Tribolium castaneum: one gene and its partners. The protein of the gene in region 1 interacts with the protein of each later gene in a biochemical or structural test. Links are inferred from orthologs where the notes say so. Each region holds a gene or a part of one and is shown in the gene's direction. Other genes may lie near its edges.

What was found.
Region 2: the proteins of Bx42 (region 1) and Cypl form a complex in vitro, tested with the Homo sapiens proteins (2 studies listed by IntAct, with this or other methods). The link is inferred for Tribolium castaneum from reciprocal best matches to the Homo sapiens genes SNW1 and PPIL1.
Region 3: the proteins of Bx42 (region 1) and Su(H) form a complex in vitro, tested with the Homo sapiens proteins (2 studies listed by BioGRID). The link is inferred for Tribolium castaneum from reciprocal best matches to the Homo sapiens genes SNW1 and RBPJ.

The regions. Positions count from the first base shown.
Region 1 is NC_087397.1:9,847,511-9,852,849, reverse strand, and holds Bx42 (puff-specific protein Bx42), read left to right. Parts: upstream 1-1,389; 5' UTR 1,390-1,697; coding exon 1,698-1,711; intron 1,712-1,763; coding exon 1,764-1,927; intron 1,928-2,070; coding exon 2,071-3,494; 3' UTR 3,495-3,542; downstream 3,543-5,339. Other genes in the region: qm (terpene synthase), read left to right, coding at 1-183; ATP-binding cassette sub-family F member 1, read right to left, coding at 3,553-3,703, 3,972-4,315, 4,360-4,538, 4,589-5,001, 5,059-5,198. UniProt on the Homo sapiens protein: Involved in pre-mRNA splicing as component of the spliceosome. As a component of the minor spliceosome, involved in the splicing of U12-type introns in pre-mRNAs.
Region 2 is NC_087394.1:31,301,135-31,306,061, reverse strand, and holds Cypl (uncharacterized protein Cypl), read left to right. Parts: upstream 1-2,419; 5' UTR 2,420-2,524; coding exon 2,525-2,604; intron 2,605-2,652; coding exon 2,653-3,100; 3' UTR 3,101-3,147; downstream 3,148-4,927. Other genes in the region: condensin complex subunit 2, read left to right, coding at 196-650, 703-861, 912-1,403, 1,501-1,681, 1,732-1,938, 1,990-2,178; metallophosphoesterase domain-containing protein 1, read left to right, coding at 3,468-3,744, 3,790-4,054, 4,107-4,333, 4,764-4,891. UniProt on the Homo sapiens protein: Involved in pre-mRNA splicing as component of the spliceosome. PPIases accelerate the folding of proteins. Catalyzes the cis-trans isomerization of proline imidic peptide bonds in oligopeptides. Catalyzes prolyl peptide bond isomerization in CDC40/PRP17.
Region 3 is NC_087398.1:4,882,779-4,889,330, reverse strand, and holds Su(H) (suppressor of hairless protein), read left to right. Parts: upstream 1-2,472; 5' UTR 2,473-2,789; coding exon 2,790-3,635; intron 3,636-4,710; coding exon 4,711-5,388; 3' UTR 5,389-5,936; downstream 5,937-6,552. Other genes in the region: DNA excision repair protein ERCC-5 homolog, read right to left, coding at 1-1,433, 1,493-1,668, 1,733-1,820. UniProt on the Homo sapiens protein: Transcriptional regulator that plays a central role in Notch signaling, a signaling pathway involved in cell-cell communication that regulates a broad spectrum of cell-fate determinations.

The DNA.
Region 1 (5,339 bases):
CAAAGAACTAAAGACAATGAAGTAAAGAAATACTGCGTTTCGTTGCTTGAGAAATACGGAAGTTTTGATTACACGAAGAAAGTGTTGGCAGAACTGAAGCAAGAGGCCCAAGATGAAGTTGATAAGTTGGGGGAAAACCCGTACATGGCCGAAGTAATGGAGTATATTTTTAAGTTGGAATAATTTTTTCATGATCAAATTAAATTATTGTGATATCTATATTAAGTTGCTACAATAAACACTATTTCATCGATTGTTCCTTTTTTTTGTTATTATGGAGCAAACAGACACCGTGTACTGTCTGTGCTAAGACTAATTTTCTTTCTCTGAGTACTGAATAGTTAGTCAAAAAACGTTACTAAAATTAGTACCGCACCTTACAATTTCTGCATAAGAATGCTTTATTTCACCTTTTGAAGCGTCAAAATGTTTAAATTAAAGCTATAATTAATACTCAACTAAAATGTGCACTTACCAAAGAAGGGTGGAAATATTCCTGCAAATGTTCCTCCTCTGAATAAGATTGTCTTTAAATAACGAGAAACAAACCCACTAACACCATAAATCCTTACTAATACACAAACTAAACACTAAAACAGCGTTAAACAAAAATAATGCTAAACTACAAAACATGACAGGTGCTAAAAGGCGCGCCGATATTGCAGCACTACCAACGTAACAGTGTAACAGAAGTACCAACACCAAAAAAGCGCGAATTTCAATAGTAAACAGCCTTCGGTTGAATATGTTTTAGTGTTTTTAGTTCAATTTAGTGCTAGACACAGTTCTACAGCGGTTAAAAATTACAGTGTGTTATGGTGTTAGTTCCAAAATTCAAATTTCACTTTAGTGCTCTAAGGCACTTATTTATATGTTGGAGAAGTACATTTTCAAAATTAGAAGTTCACAAACACCACCAATTATTGCCAATTATCAATGGCAACCGCACGATACATGAATGTTTTTCTAAATTTTTGGAAAAATATTAAAAAATTTATTGTTTTTTGTTTATTCTACGTAAGTAAAGGGTCTGCTTGTTGAAGTAACTAGTAGCTAAAAGTCTGTGAGTGGTTGTGCATCTTTTTTTTTGGGGATACCCTCACGTTAAAAATACAGACTGATCCAGAAATACTGAGTCTGTTGGCGACACTGGACTTAAATTTTTAAGGATACTAATGGAATACGCTTCCAGTTAACAACAATTTAACATTCTTGTGGGGTTGTACGTCAAATAGTTGTCAAGAAAAATCGAATTCGGTTGCAATGTTACAAATTACAAGCACAAACACTTTCAAATGTGTTGCCAACAGACTCAGTATTTCTGGATCAGTCTGTATTTTCGAACTTATAGAACTTCGGAACAAACAATCTATGCTCAACCGCGCCCTCTACAAATCATTCCGTCTATTTGACGTTTTAGTAGTGGCGTTAATTTGGGTGTATTTATAAAACAGAATTACACACAATAATCCATTACTTAGTTGCGTTTTTTAAGTACAAATTGCTTTGAATATCGCACAGCGATAATATAATATCAAGATTTTGCGGAAATTGTTTTCCCGAAAGCCACTGTTGTGCAATCGATTTTTACATATTTTCCGATTTACTAGTGAAGTAAAACAATAAAAACTTACATTAATGAGTGCAGTGTGAATATTTTACGCTATTGTCAAGTTTTTGCTGATTTAGGAAAAGAAATGGAATTATCCAGGTAACCTAACCTCACTTTTGGGCTTGTAGAGTAAGACGCATTTATTTTGTAGTTTATTGCCCGCCCCCATACAACCCGTATGGGATCGGGACGACGAGAGACGGCAACAGAATGCCACAACTCAACGTTCCACATCTGTTGTAACAGCCCAAAGCATTGCCCCACCGTATGGACAAAGAAGGGGTTGGGTCCCACGAGTCCACACCGACTATGGAGGTAATTAGCCACCGATTTTTTGTAATTAAATTTAACTACGATGGGACCAACTTTTTTGATTGGTCCTATTAAATTTTATTACAAATAATCAGTCAAGGACGTCGAAAAGTTTTCACTATCACTGATTTTATTGCAATTTATAGATGGAGGCGCATTTCCCGAAATCCACGTGGCCCAGTACCCTCTTGACATGGGGCGAAAGGGCAAAGAATCAACTTCAAACGCCTTGGCCGTCCAATTGGACGCAGAAGGCAAAGTCAAATACGACGTAATCGCACGTCAAGGCCACGGCAAAGACAAAATCGTCTATTCAAAACTCTCCGATTTGTTACCAGTTGAAGTAACCACAGAAAATGACCCAAGTCTTGCTAAACCATCTCAGGAGGAAATCGAAGATATCACAGAAAAAACCCGTCAAGCATTACAACGCCTAACAAATTCAAAAATCGCAGCTGCAATGCCAGTCAGATGTGCCGAAAAACAAGGCCCCGCTGAATTTATTCGTTACACCCCTTCACAACAAGGGGCCGCCTTCAACTCGGGTGCCAAACAGCGCGTCATTCGTTTGGTCGAAGCACAAGTTGATCCAATGGAGCCCCCACGTTTCAAGATCAATAAGAAGATCCCAAGGGGGCCCCCTTCGCCCCCAGCGCCCGTTTTGCACAGCCCCACACGTCGTGTCACTGTTAAGGAGCAAAAGGAGTGGAAAATCCCGCCCTGTATTTCAAATTGGAAAAATGCAAAGGGTTACACAGTTCCGTTAGATAAGCGTTTAGCTGCAGATGGTCGGGGGTTGCAACAGTTGCACATCAACGAGAATTTCGCAAAGTTGGCTGAGGCTCTATATATTGCCGATAGAAAAGCACGAGAGGCTGTGGAAACACGCGCCCAACTCGAGAAAAAACTAGCTCAGAAGGAAAAGGAACAAAAGGAGGAGCATTTGAGACAGTTGGCTCAAAAAGCTCGAGATGAACGTGCTGGGATCAAAGTCGCTGATGCTAAAATCACAGATGAGGAGGAACGTGAGAGAGAAATGCTGAGACAGGACCGGCATAAGGAGCGAGCAAGAGAGAGAAACTTGGCAAGGGCTGCTCCCGATAAGCGTTCAAAGTTGAAGAGGGAGCGAGAGCGAGATATTTCCGAGCAGATTGCTTTGGGGATGCCTGCCAGAGGAGTCTCCTCAAACGAGGTGCAGTTTGATCAGAGATTATTCGGACAGGCTCAAGGTTTGGGGCATGGATATGGGGACGATGACGCGTATAATGTTTATGATAAGCCGTGGAGGGAGGGGGGCTCAATGGCCAATCACTTGTACAGACCTAGTAGGAATGTGGATAAGGAGGTATACGGTGAAGATTTGGAGAAAATCGTCAAAACGAACCGATTTGTTCCGGATAAGGAGTTTAGTGGAACTGATCGGAATGCGCCAAGGTCTGGACCTGTACAATTTGAGAAAGAGGAAGATCCGTTCGGGTTAGATCAGTTCTTGAGTCAGGCTAAACGGGCGAGCAAACGCAAGGAACCGGAGAGGAGGGATGAGAGGGATAAGCGAAAGAGAAGAGATTAAAATATTGATTGTATTTGGGTTTTTTAAATAAATACAATTGTAGAAATTTTTTGTTGTATTATTGAGCAATGGCAGCGTTTGCTGCAATACTTGGGCTGTTGATGACTTCACCCAGACTCTCCAAGAGCTCTTTGCGGTAGTCGTCGAAGTCGCCGTCTAATTCGTTTATGGTCTGGTCTTCTATTACGTACAAGGCGCAATCAGTTTCACTGTAACAAAATTAGTAATTTTTTTTTACACAAAACAATAAAATTGAGTTTTATGGTCGAGCCGAAATTGTTACAAAAACTCGATGGAATTTCATCTTAATTTAAATTAACGAACAAATTAAGTAGCTAATGCAAATTAAAAATTAAATTCACTTCTAATAGTGCTGGTAAACGCATACTTCGCAGCCTGAAATTAGGACGAAAAATATAAAATTTCTATAAAGGGAGGCGAAAAAAGAAAAGAAAGAGTACATTTATTTGCTCTTACCGTATAAGTCGTTCGTCGTGGCTCACTATAATAACCCCTCCACTGAAGTCGTTAATGGCCTCAGCTAGTGCATCAATCGATTCAATATCTAAATTATTCGTCGGTTCATCCAAAATGAGAACATCCGGTGCGTTAAGACACAATTCGGCTAAAGCCACTCGTGCTTTCTGTCCCCCGGACAAGTCCTTCATTTTGATAGTGTGAGCATGACTCGCTAGACCAAAAGTCCCCAATTGCTTTCGGGATTTTTCGTACGGCAGATCAAACAATCGCATCAGATATTCAGCGGGTGTTTCTTCGGCCGTTAAATGCTCACCTGAATGTTGATCAAAACGACCAATCCTCTAAAAAAAAAATCACAAATCGAAAAATTAATCACAAAAATTACCAAACGATGATTTTTCCGGACTTCCCCTTGTTGCGGGTCCAAATCACCGGTTAATAATTTCAAAAATGTGGATTTTCCGACTCCGTTCGGACCAACTATTGCCACTCTGCTGCTCATATCGATACCGAAGTCGGTGTTTCGGAAGAGGGGTTTTTGGCCCGAATATGCAAAAGTTACGTCTGAAATATTTTTTTTTATTTTATGCCATATTTTATGACTTAGAACGTACTATGAAGCCCCAAAATTGGGGGTTGTAGAGGCGGAGGTTCCGGAAATGAAAATTTGACGAAATATTCTTTCGGTTTTTGTAGAAGTTCAGTTGGGGCTGTTTCGTCCTCTTGTTTCTGCATTTTCGTTCTGTTCTTCTCCTGTTTTCGCGTCAAAGCCTCTTTTTGTTTCTTTTCGGCTTGTTTTTTCGACGATCCGTGTGCCTTTAACTCTTTCAAACGTTTTTCCTGCTTCTCGTATTCTTTAATCATTTCTTTGCGTTTTTGTTGGTACATTTTTTTAAACATTGAGTAATTCCCTTTGTAATAATACAACTTTTGATTATCTAAATGGATAATTTCATTACAAACATTATCTAAGAATGACTGGTCGTGTGAAACGATAAGTAGAGTTTTTTTCCACCCTTGCAAATAACTGAAAGCAAAATCATAATAACTTTTTCACAAAAAATTAAACCAAAATAAAACGTACTTATCCAACCAAATAACTGCATTCAAATCTAAATGATTCGTTGGTTCATCAAGAAGTAATAAAGTGGGTTCTATATACAACGCTCTGGCTAGTGACACTCTCATTCTCCATCCACCAGAAAAATTTTTAGTTGCTCTATCCTAAAAGTAATAAATACAATCTTTTACTTTTTGTGTGTGTTGTTCAAAATGACATTGGTAACTATGTTTTCAAAAAAATATTAAATAAATAAATAAAATAAATGTAACCTGATCCGAAATAGCGTTTACAATGTAACTTTA
Region 2 (4,927 bases), on another chromosome or scaffold:
ACAAAGAAAAAAGCCCATGTCGAAAAAACCACAGAGAAAGGAACTTAGTATAATCTGTGTTGTAAATTAATAGGTATTGCGTTTTTTTTCTGGGTGGACTTTTTTAATTGTGGGTTTACTTCTGTGTGAATTTTCTCGTATGGGCATTTTTCGTGTGGGCTTATTTCATGATCCATTTCCTACATTTTTGTTCAGAGAATTTCTTCGAGAAACGCCTGGGAGCTGCACATCATCGATGCAATCAGAAAAATCGTCTCCCAAAACCAGGCAAATCTTATGCAAGTTGCTGGCTCTTCCCTGGACGTTGGCTCCAAAATCTACAGTTTGCGCATTGACGACGCCCACAATAAAGCGATCCAACTTGCTAGCAATGTTGGTAAAAGTGACCGAAAACAAGCCCAGGCGGCTGAAGATGACAACGTGACTGAAAACCCGCGTGAAAAAAGGCGACAAGTGCGTAAAAAAGTCCTCAAAATTCTGGCCGATAAAAAAACGATTATTGACGAAGAGGGTAAATCGCTGTTTGGCCCAATCAAGCCGATGGAATCGGTCGTATTTGCTACCAAAGAGAATATCGAAGTTAGCGCAATTGATAATTTGTTAACTTCCAAGGTTCCGGTAAACCCCGCCAGTCACAAATTCATGTTGTTGTGAGTTTATTGGCGCACTTGTATGAGAGTTGGTTTTGTATTTGCGTTTTAGGAGCAATGAAAAGTATTGGACTACGAAACCTGATGATATTTTAAAATACCAAGACCAAGTTGTTGATAATGACTTGCCGCCAGTGTCGTCATTTGACTTATGTGTACGTTTTAAAAATTTTGAAATTGGGACGTGGTCGCCTGAGGATGAAGCCAACTTGTAAGTTTGAATAAGTGGCCGTCAGGGTTTTATTTGTTAATAATTTTCAGACTGGAGGAAACGTTTAACACTGTACCACCGGCCGCCCTGGACGAGAATGGGGTTCCTATTCCAGAGCTCGACGGTTCAATTCCTGACATTTTTGCAGATAATGACGACGCTCCCATGGACGTCGATCCGACCAGCGATACGGAGCAACAAGAAGTGTTTCAGATGCAATTACATGATGGTATTAATCATATAGCTGATGCGGTACCTCAAGAATATCGCATTGAAACCGATTACGGTTACAACGCTCTTGTAAGGGGACAATCGGGAATGTATTTTGATAAAATTTGGGCGGGACCGTGCCATTGGAAAGTTAAATTTATTAAGAAATCGACAGCACGTTATTCGGGAAGTACCGTTCAACAAGTGGTTAAACAAACAAGGAAGAAAAACGAACCGGAACCGATTAATTTTCTAGAACCATTTTTTGATACGACGAAATCATTGAAAAAATTTGTTATAAAAAGAAGGCCTGGCACGACTGATTTTGAAAAGTAAGTAACAGTTAGTTACTACTAAAATAAACAAAATTGGAAAATAAAAGTTAGGCACAATATTTTTTGTTTTTTCCTAACATTTTTTTAAATACAGGGTTACATATCCTGTGCTTGATTGGTGGGTCGACGGTTTCCTAAAAAAGAAAAACTTCTTTTCCTTGAAACCTAACACACTTTTTGCAAAACCAAACACCACCGAGAAGAACCCCGACTTTGAAGTGCCAATCTACAACTATGAGAACCCGAATGATTCGCTTTATTGCTCACTACCTAACGTACGTAAACACCATTCTAAAAACACAACATTTAAATTTTTGTGTAACAGACCGATGACGCAAATGATGGAGCAAGCGATCATTCCTTTGAGGAGGATATGCCACCAGTTGAGCAACAACAATTTTTGGAAGGAAATCTGGTCGATGCCCCCGAAATTGTTTCAGTAAATCATGTCACGTATGCAATGCATGCCAAAAAAATCGACATGAAAAAACTCAAAACCTGTATCTGGAAACACTTAACTGGGGGGCAGCAGGTGGTTAATTTAAAGGTTTTTTTTTGTTTCAGTTAATACTTTTTGTTACAGGAGACTGTAAAACCAACGAGATTCTCCACTGTGTATGAACAGATACCAGTGTTGGCTCCAGAAATGAGCAAGAATTTAAGCCCCCATTTGGGCATTTTGTCTCTGCTGCATCTTTGCAACGACCATAATCTGTGTTTGAAACCAATTGACCATCAGGGAGATTTTATTGTAATGGACGCACAAAATTAAAGTTATTATTCTCTTTCTACTCTTAATTTGTATAATTTGTTAGTTTGTGTAGTTTTATTTTTAAGTACACACAATTTTAAAGTTTTAATCGACTCTCTGTGATCTGTAAAACAATAAATAGTACTAAAAGTATTGCATAATAAATATTTCTAAAAAGACAAAGACAAAAATTGTGAAAAACAATTTTCACGTAAAGAATTCTCATGAGAGTGCATTCTCGCCTTTCGTCTTTCCACACAACAGTGTCACGGGACACCAACATGGCCAAGAAAAAATCCCTTGATATTCCTGTTTACGCTTTTATAACCTCCAATTTGTAGATAAATAACGTTAAAAAATCACAAAAATGTTGGCCGTTCAGGGCATGAACCAGTCTGGGATTCCAGACAAGATGTGGCAGCCCCCATTCGTCGCATTCGAGACGACGTAAGTCTTTAAATTTGATTTTTTCCCAAACTAACCCCTTTTCCACAGAATGGGCGAAATCACAATTGAGCTTTACTGGAAACACGCCCCACAAACGTGTCGAAACTTTGCCGAATTGACCAGGCGAGGTTACTACAACAACACAATTTTCCATCGGGTTATACGCGATTTTATGATACAAGGTGGGGACCCCACGGGGACAGGTAAAGGGGGGCTGTCAATTTACGGACAGACATTTAAGGACGAAATACACCCAGAGTTGAAACACAGCGGGGCTGGAATTTTGTCAATGGCCAATTCGGGCCCTGACACCAACGGGTCACAGTTTTTCATCACTTTGGCGCCTACGCAGTGGTTGGACGGGAAACACGCGATTTTTGGGCGAATTCAGTCAGGAATGAACGTTGTGAAGAGGATAGGGCTAGTGGAGACCGACAAAAATGATAGGCCTGTTGATGAAGTGAAGATAATAAGGGGAAAAGTTATTAAGAACTAAGTGATTTTTATATAATGCGAAAATTAATAAAAAATACGAACTAACAAGAGTTTTATTTCTTTATTTGAATTAGCGCCTGCAGTTAGAAATTAAATTTAAGGAAAACAAAGTCACTAACCTGAACCACCTGTCAATGTCAAAGTCCATATGGCAGTTTGTCAATAAAATGCTTGCAAAATTTAAACTCGCATTTCAAAAGAATTTAAACTAAAAGTAAACGTCTTGTGCCCAATTTCCATTGCAAAATGATTTTTGATGACGACTCATAGGCACTGACAGTAAAATCAAACTTAACACAATTACTCTAGCCTGATATTTATAACAGTCCTTGGAAGTTGGGTAATTCGCGATCAGAACGTAACAAGAGATGGAAAACGGCACTATCCCGGTCCACAAACTAACAAGTAACCCTACCGCGGCGTGGAGGGAAATATCAAAGAACCAAAAAATTATCAAGCTCAATGTCAAGTCTCCCTCAAAACCTGTGGAACCAAATAAAGTACGATTCGTTTGTATGAGCGACACCCACTCCCTTATAAGAAACCTGGTGTTCGACGTACCCGACGGCGATGTGTTCATCCACGCTGGGGATTTTACGAAATGTGGCCAGAAAGAGGAAGTGATGCAGTTTAATAAATGGCTAGGTGGGTTGTGCTGGAAAATTTATCATTCTATTTGCCTACTTCCAGTATCTTTGCCCCACAAACACAAGATTGTAATCAGCGGCAATCACGAATTGAGTTTCGATAAAAAATTCTCTGATTATTTCAAAAAAACGGCGAGTGCAAGACACACCGGATCACTCGAAGATGAAGTCCCCAATTATGGCAATACGAAAGATAACATCAGTGATGCAGTCAATACTGATAACATCAGGCAGTATTTAACAAATTGCACGTATTTGGAAGATTCGGGGATTGATATTTATGGCATAAAACTGTACGGAACTCCTTGGTAATTTCACGGAATTTACGTAAAACAATAAAATTTGTGTAAATTATTACAGGCAACCTGAATTCGGTGGCTGGGCTTTTAATTTAGAGAGGGGTGAAGAGTGTCTTTCCAAGTGGAATTTGATTCCAAACGATACGGACGTTTTAATAACTCATACGCCGCCTCTGGGGTTTGGCGATTTGGTCTGTTCGGGGGTTAGAGCTGGATGCGTAGAGTTGTTAACGACGGTCCAACAAAGGGTCAAACCCAAATATCACGTTTTCGGACACATACATGAAGGCAAGTTAGTTTACACTCAATCTGTATTTCAACCAATTTGAACATTTATCTAAATTCCAACCTACTTGAAAGTTCAATGTTTGTTTATTGTTCTGCTGTAGAGGTGGATTAAGCGCCTGGCTAATTTCCAAAACTCGATAAGTTTAAGTTAGAAACAACTACAACAGAGAACGTGAATGATAATTGTAGTAGACTTCTAAATTTTGCCGTTCGTCAAAAACTAAAGTGTTAGAATATCCTCCCAGAAAATTGTTATTCCATAACAGTCGTAGGAAGTGTTTCGACGTTTCGATTTTTTAATAAAACTTTGTCAAGGTTTTTTTCTTACAAAATTTCATTAATTAATAAATCAAACCATCGGTAAAAATTCTCTTCAGTTAGGTGCCACCTAGAGAAGAAACTCATTTTACCGCTCCTTTTATTTCGCCAGGTTATGGAGTGTTCTCGGACGGAAAAATCATCTATATCAACGCTTCAACATGTGATATTAACTATATTCCAAAAAACCTACCTATAGTTTTTGATGTTCCTTTACCAGAAGGCCAGTCGAAACACTAGGTTAGTATCAATCGAAAACGCTTTTATAATCTATTT
Region 3 (6,552 bases), on another chromosome or scaffold:
TCTGGCTTTATCACGACCTCCATAGCAATCTCTCCGTTGGTACTTTTCTTCTCCTTTTCTTCATCTACATCTACAAAGTCCTCATCGTTGCTAGAGGCAGAATCTGACATCACCTCAACTGTATCTTCACTGACGATAGAAGTGGTAACTTTATCTTCATCTAATTCCGCAATATCTTCAATACTGTCTTTGGTAATTTCACTACAAACATTTGTACTTCCAGTCTTGTCTGTTTCTTCTGTTATTTCTTCATTATCCTTAGTAATATCAGAACTACTACCAGTTTTATCTGCTTCCTCTTTGCTTTCTTCAGGTTCCTTAGCAATGCTACTAGAAATATCAGAACTACTACTGGCTTTATCTGTTTCTTCTTTCCTTTCTTCAGGTTCTTTAATAATGCTACTAGAAACACCAGAACTACTCTCTTCACTGACTTTCTTCATTGCTCCACTTTTACTGGCAATAATTTTGGCAATTTCGCTGGGAGTCAGCCCACTGTACTCCATCATGTATCTCTGAGCTGGTGTTAACTTCGTACGAATTACTTCTTCTTCTTCACTGGAGTCCGAATTTCCAAAATCAGCATCTTCAAGAAACGATAACGACAATCGTTTCTTCCCCCTAGAACTGGACGGTTCCTCCCGATTGTCTTTCGTTTTTGATGTCGACGGTTCCGCCTCCAAAGACAAGGCTATGGCCTTCTTCAAATCGTCTTCAAATTCTTGCTCCCCTTTATTCTTCACATTCTGTCCCTCGTCGCATTCTTCGCTTTCTTCAATCGTTGGTAAATCCTGCTTTTTGGCCTCCTCCACGGCCTGCTTGATGTCTTTGATTAAAAGAAACCGCGTGTTTTCGTCCGAAGCGATCCGACTGCCTTTCAAGTTCGTTATAACCCCCTGGTCTTTGAGCAATTTTTCCAGCTCGCCCAGCGATAGAGAATGGCCCCCCATTTCTTTTTCGACGTCTTCAAGGGCGGTTTGCACCGACTGCCTCTTCAAGAGTCGTTTCATTTGATAGGTGGAGAAGTTGTCACTTTGAGTGGGCATTTCGTGGATGCGCCCCCATGAAGACTGCTTCCGTGTGTCCTTCAAGTCGGAGAGGATTTCGTGCCGGACGTCGGCCGGTAGCGACTTGAATTCGGCACTTTCCGTGTCAATTGAATGCAAGTCGTATCGGGGAAGCCCCGAGTCTTCCGAATCCGAGTCACTTTGTGACAATGTGGAGTCGAGAGACTGGGACGGGGGCAAGGCGTAAAGCTCGTCATCGTCTTGTTTTGATTTTTTAGTGGGAGAAGTTGAGGCGGTTATTGCCGCTTTGGCTTTTTCGGACAAGACTTTGCTAATCGCGGTGTGTTTGACTAAGGCTGATAGGAGGTTTTTGTGGATGCGGTCCGCCTCGGACAAGGTTTTGGACTTTTGCTGGTTGCGTAACGCCTGGGAATTTGCGGGAAAATGCAACTGAGGTTATGTTTTTTTCTCATTATTTTACTCACTATGGTTTGTCTTTTGAGAACTGGGACGCCTCCGTCGAAGACAAACACCGGCTTGATTCTGAAATAGAGTAATTTGCATACTCTGTGGTAGATCCCCAGCAGGTGCGCATGGGGGACGGCGGCCCCCTTGGCGTCCTGGAACCCCTTGACGATTTGGTGCAACCAAATCGAGACATCTGTCAGATTGCGTTAAGGTTATAACCGATCAAGCGTGACGTTTGAAATGTCAATAAAGGATACCGACAGCTAACACTTTGTTTTCGAGAGATTCCAGAGGCACGGGTTTGCCGGAAGGCTCGATGAGCCTCCACAGACCGTGAACTCCCATAATATATTTTCTGGTAAATAATTCGAGGCGTCTGATGGAAAAAATTCCCACGGTCTGAGGCGGCGATGAACGACCGCGACACGAACGTCAGTCAGTTCCCATGATTTAGATGCGAAGAATCATCAAATCAGAGGAAAACAGACCTAATCTCGTCCAGCGGTCTGAATTACATCTCTCAGTATCAAATGTTTGAGAATCGCCGAGGCCACCCACTCTTTCCCACACCATGATTTTCCCACGCCCTGGCTGTAACCCCAACATCCTGCGGGAGGGCAGGGGGGCGGCGCTAAAGGCACCTTCACAAGGGAGGGGACCCATTCATAAACACGCGGCCAGTGGCGTGCGCCCAAACGCCAATAAAACCACCACATTCTTTTGTCAGGCAGCGGCGCCGCGAACTTCCTAATACTGCTATCTTTGTTAGAACTTTTTAGTTTTCTTCTTTTTAGAAATAAACATTATTTATAATAATAATTGGCACCTAATTAGATCAATTAGATTAGGTATCAAGGTAGAAAATCCCTCACTAGGATTAATCCTCCAGTGGCGTCTCGCCTCCGCCCCTGTTGTGTCATCCACTACCGTTTTACGCGTGTTAGGTGTAAACCCGCCTTAACGCTACCAAAATTACATAATTTTCAGCGACCGCCGCGCCCGCCCCGCCCGCCCCGCCCATGGCCCATGCAGACCCATCAGCCCATCTTGGGCCCTCTTGAGCGTTAAAAAATTCCAAGAACGCGTTAATTCGGGCACTTCCTGTGAAAACTCGCCTTTTGAAAGTTGGCCATCCTGTCGGAAAATCCTCTCTCCAAACAGGTGTTTTTCGAATGAGATACGGGGGGCAAAGGAGGGGGAAGCATGGCATTTGTTCTCACCGTGTGTTGCGGTAGCCGTGCGAAGAGTTGGCTGTGAGTGCATCGATAAAACAAACGCCAGTGCGATGCGGCCTACTTGATTAAGTGTTTCGAAATGCCCCATCAGTACGGATTGCCGGGCATAGCCCACGCTCAGTCGCCCCCGACGCCGCCGCCGCAGCACGGGGCCATGTACTCGCGGTTCTCGGGGGCGGTGGTGCCCGGGGGCTACCGCGGCGAGGACCGGCGGCTGACCCGGGAGGCCATGGAGCGGTATCTGCGGGACCGGTCCGACATGGTCATCGTGATTTTGCACGCCAAGGTGGCGCAGAAGTCCTACGGGAATGAGAAGAGGTTTTTCTGTCCGCCCCCTTGCATTTATCTGTTCGGGGACGGCTGGAGGCTGCGCCAGGAGCAGATGCTGCGGGAGGGCGAGTCCGAGCAGGCCTCGCAGTTATGCGCTTTCATAGGGATTGGGAACTCGGACCAGGACATGCAGCAGCTGGATTTGAATAATGGGAAGCAGTATTGTGCCGCGAAAACTCTCTACATCTCCGATTCGGACAAGAGGAAACACTTTATGTTGTCCGTGAAGATGTTCTACGGGTCGGGGCACGACATCGGGGTGTTTCATAGCAAAAGAATCAAAGTTATCTCGAAGCCTTCAAAGAAGAAACAATCGTTGAAAAACGCGGATTTGTGTATTGCGAGTGGTACCAAAGTGGCGCTTTTTAACAGACTTAGATCTCAGACTGTCTCCACGCGGTATCTGCACGTGGAAAATGGACATTTTCATGCCAGTTCCACACAGTGGGGTGCTTTCACTATACACTTGTTAGACGACAATGAATCTGAAAGTGAGGAGTTTCAAGTACGGGATGGGTACATTCATTACGGTTCTACAGTCAAACTGGTGTGTTCTGTCACCGGAATGGCCCTCCCGAGACTTATCATTCGAAAGGTACGTTTGAAAAAAACATCAACAAAAAATTGAGGTTATGATTCGGCAACATGTCAATCTTTATATTCCCCATAATTACGCAAAGGAACGCTCCCTGCAAGCAGTTACGGCCATACCATGACCGAATTCAGACAAAATAATGATTTTCCAGATGATTCATTGCACAAAATTCGATATTTCGATACAAATGTTGACCCAGCCCGTGATTGGCCCATTTGAGAACACATGTCGGTTCCCATCCTATCAAAACTCGCCGCTCACGCGGGCGATTCGAAGCCTATTTTGGGGAAAGAAAAACCTACTAAAATAATACAAACTATTGTAATTTTCAAGAAACACAAAATATTATGTTTTTTCAGCCATTAAAATTACAAATGTGCTTTCTTAATACTCATAATAATAATTAAATATTTCACCACGTCATTGACTTTCTTATGCTGGATGTTCAAGATTTTTTTTTTTGTCATAATTTCGTCCGCATATCATTTTTAATGCCTTTAAAAAGCATAACATGCCTCTCGACAACATCAGATTTCTCCCTAGTCTTCCTACGCTAATTACGAATAAACTCTTAATACTCTTTTTCACCGACCTCATCAGAAAATATCGTAAAGAAAGAAAGCTAATTTCTCGCCAAAATGTCAGAAGAAGCCCCAAATCTTTATTTTGTTTCTACATTTGGTGATTCTCTACTACGCTCTGCAGGACTTGGAATCCGCCGATTTTGAGACACCTTGTATTTATTCTTTATCTTACTTACACTTTAAGGAACCCGTTGAAATACAGCTACATTATTATTAGAATTATTTAAGTTGTGTATAATTTGACAGTTCTCCAGTTACGATTTATCTTTACTTGGTCAAGTATTAATTGAAAAAATTGTGATTGAAACTTCCTATAATTCCTGACGGTATTTTTTTTATTTTCCACTTTTTTACGTTTGTACAGGTCATCGTATTGCAAATTTTTAACGTATTGTAATATAATTGTTCTCTTCTCTTTGTGGCGTCTTTTTTTGTTTCGTAGTTTGTGTTTTTTGGTTCAATTTTGTAAAGCGTTTGTTGTTTTGGTCCAGGTGGACAAGCAGCAGGCGCTCCTCGAAGCCGACGACCCCGTGTCCCAGCTGCACAAATGCGCCTTTTACATGAAAGACACCGAACGCATGTACCTCTGCCTCTCCCAAGAGCGCATCATCCAGTTCCAGGCCACCCCTTGCCCCAAAGAGCCCAACAAGGAGATGATCAACGACGGCGCCTGCTGGACCATCATCTCCACCGACAAGGCCGAGTACCAGTTCTACGAGGGCATGGGCCCCGTGCGCTCCCCCGTGACCCCCGTGCCCATCGTGCACAGCCTGCACTTGAACGGCGGCGGCGAAGTGGCGATGCTGGAGCTCACGGGCGACAACTTCTCGCCGTCCCTGCAGGTGTGGTTCGGGGACGTGGAGGCCGAGACCATGTACCGGTGCCAGGAGTCCATGCTGTGCGTGGTCCCGGACATCTCGCAGTTCCGGGGCGAGTGGCTGTGGGTGCGGCAGCCGACCCAGGTCCCGGTCTCCTTGGTGCGGAACGACGGGATTATCTATGCCACGGGGTTGACGTTCACGTATACGCCGGAGCCGGGGCCCCGACCGCAGTGTTTGCCTGCGGACGAGATCATGAGGCATGGGCAGAGGAGCGCGGCGGCGGCGCAGGGGCAGAGCCAGGCGCTGACGCAGGAGGCGGCGTGGAACTCGCACGGAGGGATGCATTAGGGGGTGGGTAGGTAGATGCAATAAAGTTAGGTAGGGTGTACAACGACCATTGTGTTTTTTCTCGAGTGGACACTCAGTATTAAATTTTGAGATTGGAAGTGGCACGAGTCTTCTGTATTATGATTTATTGTGATATGTTTTTTGAGTAGGCGGTCGTAGAGAAGCAAAAGTTGGTATCAATTTTTCCTTATTTTTTAATTGATGCAGTTGACCGGCCTAAGACTTGTAGGATGTGTTTCTACAGCGGTGTAAAGAGATACTTAGCCTTATGAACAAACCAAAGTTATGTAAGTTTTCTAATTGTCAGTCAGAATGAATAGTCCAACAATTTTTACTTAGTATTAAGTAAATTATGCTCAATTTGCCGATGAATAATAAATAATAGGTAATAAAAAATCTCGACAGGAAAACATGACAACAACGAATTTATGGCAAATGTAATGAGTGTAAATATCTTTATTAGAATTAGTTTTATTCTACGTAAAATAATACATAAACAAACTGTACATGCTGCATATTTTGTAGAAATAAAAACTATTTGAATAATATCACCATTCTTCAAACCCCTAACAGAAAAAAAATCACAGTGAGTACGGAAGGCCTTCCGCATTTTCACATCCATTCAAGTCAGTTCTCACGACAAAATCTCATTTTCTTGAAAATGATTATTCATACATGTGGGAATTCGGGTCTTAACAATGGTATTATTTTTAATAATTGCTTTTCCTACTGTATATTAATTAGTCGGTCCCATTCCCACAATTGAGGTGGGAATTCTCATCTCATTTGATTCTTAAACTTCTGTTTGCTCATGTAAGTGAGGGAGATATAGGGGGTCACAAGGTCGCCCAAGTTATAGCTAAGGGAGGTTTCGCAAGGAGTCTCTGACGATGGTTTTGTGGCAGTATGTGTTGCCCGAAGGGCTGGGTGACGAGGATTTTCTAAGACGCAGTTCGATTAATTGGCGATGTTAATTAAGTAAATAATTGAGTTAAGCAGTTAATGAATGAACATGCAGCAATAACAGGAAATCATATAATCATGAAAATGCTCTTGATGGCTTCACATAATAACATACGTGAGAATCCAAAGGCTATTGTTGAGACGGTGAGGTTTATTAATGGGTTGATTATCTGATTAGACGAATGAGGGAAATTGGAGGAT